Linked DNA regions of Daphnia pulex. The protein of the gene in region 2 purifies or fractionates together with the protein of the main gene of each other region. This does not show direct contact. Links are inferred from orthologs where the notes say so. Each region holds a gene or a part of one and is shown on either strand. Other genes may lie near its edges.

Region 1 (4,101 bases), on a different chromosome or scaffold from region 2:
GAAACCCGGAGACTATCGATCGGTTTCCTCTTTAGCGACACAGCCAATCGATAATATCCGATGAACAATTGAATGAACAAAAATAGAAATGTGTTCACGCACCGAAAACGGATTCTTCGCCTAGTTTGCGTCCATATGCCGACATGGTCTCCCCTAGGGTTCCCTCCGGCTGTGGGTAGGTGGCAGCTTTGGCTTGACCACTTAGTTTGCTTATTCCTGCTGGTCAACGATCTTGACATTAGTACGAAACGGCATGGCTTGTTAAATCATTAAGAATTACCTTTGACTGCGGCCATCTTAGCCCGGGCAGTAGGATTGGGCTGCAAAAACTCTTTCGTCTTCATTTGGAGCTCCTCCACTAGTTCATAAGTAACATCAGTTTTCTGTGTGTCGAGAAAAGTCAAAGTGAAAACAAAACAAAAGTTAAACGTTAACACTATCGTCCAAAAAATGAAACATTCAATCATCATTACCCTCTCCATTTCGACGAAGTCATCGTCCATTTTGGTGCCTTCTGCGGCACCCATCTTCTCCGTGACATACTATTCAATTGACAAGGAAAATTAGAGCAAAAATGGTAGATAACATGAGACGACAAAATCAAAATTACAAGAAAACGAACGGAGGTGTGGGCACATGCAATTTCGTCATGTCGGATTTAATAGGAGGAATCAAAACTTGTAAGTCATAGAACAAGACCGCCCATGCATTATTCTCTTGTCCAGCGTTGTTTTCAATCGGTTTTCTTGCAACCACTCAACCTCCCACTATTTGAACCGACTGCGTCAAACCGATATCTTCTTCACGGTCTGTGAATCTCAAATTCATTCAGCTCTACGATTTTAAATCCAATCTCAAGTCCAGCCTCAAACAAAAAGTTTCCGACATGAGAAGAAGGCGACCCAAAAGGAATAAGGAGTGGGGAGTAGGAGAAACCACGGATCGATGAAGAAAAAGAACATGGAGAGCGCGGGGGTGTGTAAAATCAATACAGTATACACAGAACATACTTGGTTGGCTTTATTGATCTGTTTCTTGAGACCGGCGAACGCCATGATGCTTTCGGTTTTGGGGTTGGCCTTTCTGGATTCCTCCTTTTAGATTCCAACTGAATGAAGCACTACTGACGTGTCCCAGTATTTGGCATCCACCTGCTCATCAGAATAACAAAATGGAAATCACGGTGAACAATAAGAAATCACTAGACACAATTTTCTAGAATTAAGTTCATTGGTATAAACTTGTTTTCAAATCGAGCGCCATTTTTATTGATTTTTCCAGACACGCTTAAGAATCGATAGCTAGACACAAATTCGATTATCGTTCACCATCTGGGCTGAAGGGAAGAAAAACTGACTTTCAGCTCGATGGCAGTAGTATGCATCAGCAAAGTTATTGATTGATACTGGCACAGACGTACCCCTAACCCTTACCCCCCGCTACCTCGGCACACAAACAGAGCAGTGGGAGTCGTCGATAGCGTTTACCCACACACTCGCCACCGTGAACATATCGACGCAGTTGTTTTCTTTTTTGTTTGTTTTATCGACAACGAATATAAGAGTTACTGCTAAAACGAAAGTAACAAATATGAACCGAATAAGTACCGCTAGGAAGTGGAACAGGCCAGCCGACGTAACGGATCTTGAGTACCGGTCGAACGAGAAGAGTAGCCGTTGCCAAAATGACAATTGGAAACGAAAGAACATGACGAGGCGCACGCGCCCGACGCGATTGCAATTGCAAACTTGAACCTATCTCTCCATTACGAGTTTCATCGACTGTCTGATTCTCCGGTTGTTAACGACGGCAATCGGGCATGGTCAACATCTTTTGTTTTTCTTTTTACCCCCCAACGAATAGCAGACGGAAAGAAAAAGGAAAGCAAAAGTGAAATACACGGGGCGTTTTACTTTTGCTTGTATGGAGGAGAATTCTTCCGATTTTTTTATCATTTCCATCCAGAGAAAGAGAGTGGGAGGGAAATGTAGAATTTGTTATTTCTAGTTCCAAATATGGAATCCAACCACGGCCTTTCGATAACAAATATCGACCTTCTTCTTCTTGTGTATCTCTTTTGAATTTGGTTTGGGCAGGGATAGAGAGACTTGACCGTTATGGAATGAGGTGGGACGAGCGAAACAGTAGACGTATACGTAAGATACCCATAAAAGGCTTTCAGAAAAGAAGAAAAGAAAGTCAATGTGGTGGATGCTAGTAGTGTGGGTGAACAAGTCCCCCCGGAGAACGGCCGTTTTGAACCATTATACGAGAGAGAGAGAGCCATCTCTCATCTGTGTCTTTGTAGGGCGCGCGTCAACACTACCACTACTACTATACAACGGCACTTATGTATTCGCTGCTACGATATGACTAATCAATATTGCCCGTCTGGGCACCGATAAGAATCTAGACCCGATAAAATAACTTGGTTTGCTAACCTATTTGGAGAATTTGGGTACGATCTGACATCAGTGCGACGACTATATATAATCAAGTGGAATAAAAACAGATGGAGTGACTAAATCTTGATCCACCTGCAAATTGTCTGCATGCTAAAAGCCCAAGGCAAGAAATACCCAACGAGACAACAAGCAGACCTTGTCGTTATTTCATGAGACAACAATAAAACGGTCACACTTACTTGACTGTTGTTGTCTCGTTTACTTTAACTGGATCGAAGTATGATGGCACCGAATATTCACACTTTTTTCCCCAATCGAATGTCGAAGACCACAAGCGGGACTATTTCAGCACCGTCGACCGCTGCTTGACTGCAACTGCTGACGGCAAGGAGGAGTGGGTGGGGGGGAGGAGTCTGGCTGGCATACCGCGTTGCCAAATCGTGATAAGATTATTTTCGTAAGAGTCGGCGGAACACGGAGAATAAGACATGGAGGACGCGCTCACATCCCTTCTCACATGGAAAAATGTTACACTCGCTCGGTAAAAAGGGCGTCAACAATTGCTCACAGAGAAATTCTATTGGCTGTCGTTTAGATTTGCGTTCGGGCGTAGCGTGGGAAGGAAACCGCCGACACGAATTGAATCTGAGCACTTGCTAACGCCCATTTTCCACTTGGTCGAGACATGTTTCTGTACTCTTTCTCTCTTTGTCTGTGGTTCTAGACCCACGATCGATAATGCAGCAAGGCTCTGCAACTTGCATTCGTTTTTTTTTCTTGGAAAATAGCGGCGACTTGAGTGAAACTACTCTGCTTTAGAGTTTAGCCGTTTTCGATTTGGAACTCAATAAGCTAAAAGCGGCTGGAAGTGTTGGGGACAATTCTTTGGAAAAATACACAACTTAGTCTCACTTAAGCCGAGTAAACTGTTTCTTTTTATGTAATGGCAGCAATATTTTCAGCAATAGACGTGATCTAGCGACAACAATAAATTACAACTGTCACAAAACTAAATAGGCACCAAAATTAGCAGTCTCTAATTGGTAAGAAAATCGATAAGACCATTACAACTGAGAAGACTATAAGGGAGAAAACAATTTAATTGAATCCCTCCCACCCGGCTCGGCTTTGTAATCTGGATTTCAATATTTTAAAAACCACGGTAACTTTATTCGTTCGTTGTGTCAATCAACAAGGATGATTAATTTGAGTTTCAATTATTCTTACAGAACTCTTTATGAAACAACTGAATCAAAATGAGTATGGAATTATTAAATCGCTATAGATAAAATAGTGTAGATAAAATATTATTCATCTTTAACTTTAGACAAATGTTATCGATTTTAGATTTTTTAAAAATCGAATGATATCGCTGGCAAACGAATGTGAAATTTGTTTGACTATTTTCTTAAGGAGACTGAAAAAGGAGGGTATCTAGCGACAAAAATTGAAACTCCGTTGCACGGAGCCAATGAAAAAAACAGAACAATTTTTAAACAGAATCCTAAACTAAATGGTTACATAATAAAAAAAAATACTCATCAATGCAATAACAAACAAAAATTAAACTATTATTTAACAAATAATTTTTTTCTTTTTATTACAGCTTCTTGGCTTTATTTCTTATTTCTCGTCTTATGTCCTAATTCATTATAAATAATTACCACGTTTGATTAATAATTCACTGATGCTTCTT
Region 2 (4,078 bases):
AGATGTCCGCTGTTCGCCAACCTTGTTCCTCGCTTAGACACACCAATGATCTATTCACCAAAATACCACAAAAATTGCCATTAATAACGGACTTGGACGCAAGGAAAAGCGAAGAAACAAAAAAAATAAAATAAAAATAAAATAAAATAAACAAGTCAAAAGAATTTAAAGAAAATCCGTTAACTAGAATCTAAAGGAAAATAGACAATTACACATGCTCCAATCATTTCCAAATTGGGATGCTCTAATCATGCTAACATATATTAGTTAACTCACCCATCCCAATTCCACGAAATAAATTTTTTTAAAGGGTAAGTAAAAATGGGAGAAAATTACAGTTGGCTTTTCAGTAAATTAAGGAGTAAGTTTTACCTAGCGGCAGCTGAATCTTGATGTGGACTATCAAGCAACCAGTCGGCCAATGTAGAGTCTTTGTAAACGACACTACGGAAATGATGACCACCATTGACGTTGTATGTTCCAACTGCCACGCGAATAGGTTGCGGCTCCGTGAATTCAGAATAGCGAGAACACATGCCATGCAATATATCGGCAGGCAGGACACTCCAGTGCGGTGGTAAAAGACTGCGAGCCAGGTCAAAGATGAAATCATTCCCCGTACCTCCATGGATCAGCAAATCGAATGCTTCCTATTTTAAAAGGACCGAGTTATATTTCCAATTTCAAGCTTACGATTTAATTTCGAATTTTACCTGTTTACTACTGTCCAATAAATTATTCTTAAAAAAAATAAAAAAAATATAAATGTTATTTTAACCTTTCAAATTATACATTAAGTGGAAATAAAACACCGGGCATAGGTTACGCATAGCCTACTTGAATAGTACGAGCAGCCGAACGCGCGCCATCCATTATCTTTGATCCACCCTATTAGAAAAACACGTTCTTAATTAATTCAGAAAAAAAGAAAGAAAAAAAAAAACAGCTCAAAATAAAATTTTTAATAAAATCAATCACTTGTATAGCGCCAGTTCCAGCGTAGATTTTGCTGATTTCATTTCCATTGTTAACCCACATCGCCCGGAAAACTTCCTCAAACCTTGTCCACGTCTGTGGTTTCGTCTGGGGTTCTAGCGCCTCCAATTGTAGTGCTAACATCTCTAAACCGATGAATGTCTGCACACTTTTTTGGTAACAAAATATGCAACTATAAGTCACCAATCCACAAAAACAACCTAAATAATTAATCATACCAATTAGTTCGGTCAAGGCAGTCAAGACAGTTGGTACGAACAACTCCTTTTTGCTGTGAAACTACTCGCTGATTCTTGAGTAGGAAGAAGGAATGGCGATCTAGGATCGGCTTCAGACTTTGTTTCAATTTGCTGAGATTTTGGAGATTACCACCTTTACATTCTTGGTGGTAGTCGAACATTATGTGAGGCATTGCTTCGTAGTAGCGCTTCTGATCAGCCTGGAAGAGTTGACTAAGAGAAGCCTCGCCTTCTTTCGCACCCACCATGTTGAGACCGAGTAGATTTACAATAGCTGTGTCATGATATCTTTGCTGCATTAGTTTCAAGTGGCGTTCCAAAGCTGGCGAAGAAGCTTCAGGGCCACGAGAAAATCTGACTTTATGCGAGCCTACTTGAACACCTGGCTGTTCCCAGAAGAGGGGGACAGATCCACGAGTTTGAAGAAAAGCTGAAGCATCTCCTTGGTCACCATATATGAGTTGCTCCGTTTCAACGAAATTAGCTACATGGCCTTCGTCGTTAACGCCGCGTACATTAAATCGCGTACCAGCCCGTTCACAGCTAAGACGAGAAAAAATTGCTGCTTTGAACTGACGATGTCCTGCATAAACAGTGCGAATTTCAACGCTGCCACATGTTATCCGTAGAAGCCAGTGGGAACAGTCAATTCCATAATGTTGCAATGGTAGATGCAACAGCCTAAAAAATTAAAAATTAAGTTAAGACTTAACCCACAACACTTCCTTACTTATATAAAAATCTGGTCTATTTTGTTTGTAATTGCAAACCTATTCCAGAAAAATCTGTTGTCTGTCCCAGGATTCTGTTGGAGCTTCTGAGTACATAATGTAGCATCAATCGAGTCTTCACTTGATGACCAGAGAAAATAAAATGTGCCAGAGTTGAATAGTTTCCTCAGTTCAGTGACTCTCTCTTCTTCCACTGTTTGGGGTCCCCTCAGTGGAAAAAAACTTGTTTGATTGATTCTAAACACTTCTGACTCCCCAATCTTTCCAACTGACACACAACCTGTAACCATGACTAGATATTGTAAGGGTCCATCTCCTACAACCCAATATAAAAAAACTTAAATTAGATTCTAAAAATATGAAAAACTTAAATTATTTAACAAACCTGTACTGACTAACAGTACTCCAAGGCATCCATAAGCATCAGAGAGTTTTGTGTATGATTTTTTCACAACTTCAACCTCAGCAGATCCTAGTTAAAATGGTATACATTTTGGTTATTTGTATGTGAGAATAAAAAGAACTTTGCTTCGATTACCCAAGGCAGCAATTACTAGAGATTCAAATAAGAGAGCTTCGTCTCGGTTTCGTTGTTCGAGTAAAACACTGTACGGTCCCTGTCCATTGACTTTATGCCATATTTTATAACTTTTTCCCATAGCCATTTTTGATGGCTCACTTTAACAATACAACTTTTAAAAATAAAATGTGCGCTCACATTAGCTTTTACGTGACTTAGAATGGAATTGATACGCTCGGCTCGTTCTCGCACATTCGTCTGTCAAAAAGACAAAAATCAGAATGTCAAAGTAGCACAGTCGGGATCAGCTGTGCAATGTGCTGAATCATAGAGGATAGGAAACTAGCTATCAAACTAGGAACGAAAATATGATGAAAGCGCTCGCCGCGCCCCCATGCTGCAGTGTTCGGAAGATCAATTGGGAATTTAAATTGGAAATGATTAAATCGCGATTTAAATCAACTTTTGGGTGATTTTGATTTTGATCTTAAATCATTTTGTCTTTTATGATTTTTTTGGTGATTTTTCGATTTTAAATCACATTTTTATAAATCAAAATCAGAAAGCAAATTTTTCCCCAAAACTATGTTCAATGATCCAAATTTCTAATTCGTATTCGTAAAAAAATTCGTACAAAAAAACCACCTTGGTGGGGTTGGGGTGTGCAAATGAGCGTGAATGCCAGTGCCCGTAAAACATGTTTTAAAGTTTTGAGTTTTACGGGGCTGACGCGCTGCCCAAGCCGGCCTAAAGGGGGGGTGGGGTAGGGGGTCGAGCGGGGGAATTACGCACATCCCTGGGAGAGGGTAAGGGGGTTATATATATGGTATATGTTTACATTTACAAAACTTACTCAAATATAAACGAAAAAACGAGGTCTTTGCATGAATAAGGGATCGGGTGGAAATTAATATGATTCGAATCAGTTTTTCACGCTGATTCTCACAGTATGTTTATTTTATTATCAAAATTATAATTTCCCCACGTAGAATATCTTATCTAAGTTGAGATAAGCTCCCCCCACTTTAAAACGGACCCCACGCAATTTTTGGAGGGCGGTTCTTTTAATGTGGTGAAATTGCAGAAGACCTTAATCCAAATCACCGTTTTCATGCTGCCTACAACCCTCTTTTGCCTAAAGGCCAAATACAGATAAGGTGGTGTTTTGCTCCACATCGCTGGCTCCTGCACCGGCGGTGCACCGGCGGTGGGGATTCAAGCAGTCAATTTTTTTGTGGAGACCAAAGCAGTTTGAACATCTTTTTTGGTTTGTGATGATCGTCTTCTTTTCCTCCAGCTCCATTGTGCAGTTTACATGCAGAAAACGCAGGGCAGCGTTTGTTTTTTTGGGGTTGGAGCTGCTGCTTCTCTCCTTGGAGGTGGCGCCTTGTTTTTCCTGGGTCTGTTAAGAGATTTGGATTGGGTAGTCGGCTTACTGCTTACTCCGAGCTGCCTTTGGGTGTTGTTGCTGCTTTGACTAGTTGTGGAATTTGTACCGGCTTTGGGTTCTGTACCCTCAAACGACTGAGTCGCTCTGCAACTTCTATCTGATCTTTAAAAATCTTTAGAATTTGATCAATGTCTGTCATCTA

Evidence for each region. Proteins that work in one complex are often made in the same cells at the same time.
Region 1: the proteins of synaptojanin-1-like (region 2) and endophilin-A-like purify together in Drosophila melanogaster (affinity purification with western blotting; 3 studies listed by BioGRID). This does not show direct contact. The link is inferred for Daphnia pulex from reciprocal best matches to the Drosophila melanogaster genes Synj and EndoA.

The regions. Positions count from the first base shown.
Region 1 is NC_060027.1:5,385,568-5,389,668, forward strand, and holds the start of endophilin-A-like, read right to left. Parts: upstream 2,801-4,101; 5' UTR 2,645-2,800; exon of another isoform or gene 2,442-2,644; intron 1,782-2,441; exon of another isoform or gene 1,608-1,781; intron 1,152-1,607; 5' UTR 1,056-1,151; coding exon 1,011-1,055; intron 543-1,010; coding exon 474-542; intron 384-473; coding exon 281-383; intron 220-280; coding exon 103-219; intron 1-102. UniProt on the Drosophila melanogaster protein: Required presynaptically at the neuromuscular junction. Implicated in synaptic vesicle endocytosis.
Region 2 is NC_060023.1:5,749,180-5,753,257, forward strand, and holds the start of synaptojanin-1-like, read right to left. Parts: upstream 2,801-4,078; 5' UTR 2,632-2,800; coding exon 2,505-2,631; intron 2,439-2,504; coding exon 2,352-2,438; intron 2,283-2,351; coding exon 2,006-2,282; intron 1,917-2,005; coding exon 1,215-1,916; intron 1,145-1,214; coding exon 979-1,144; intron 889-978; coding exon 838-888; intron 741-837; coding exon 714-740; intron 651-713; coding exon 373-650; intron 51-372; coding exon 1-50.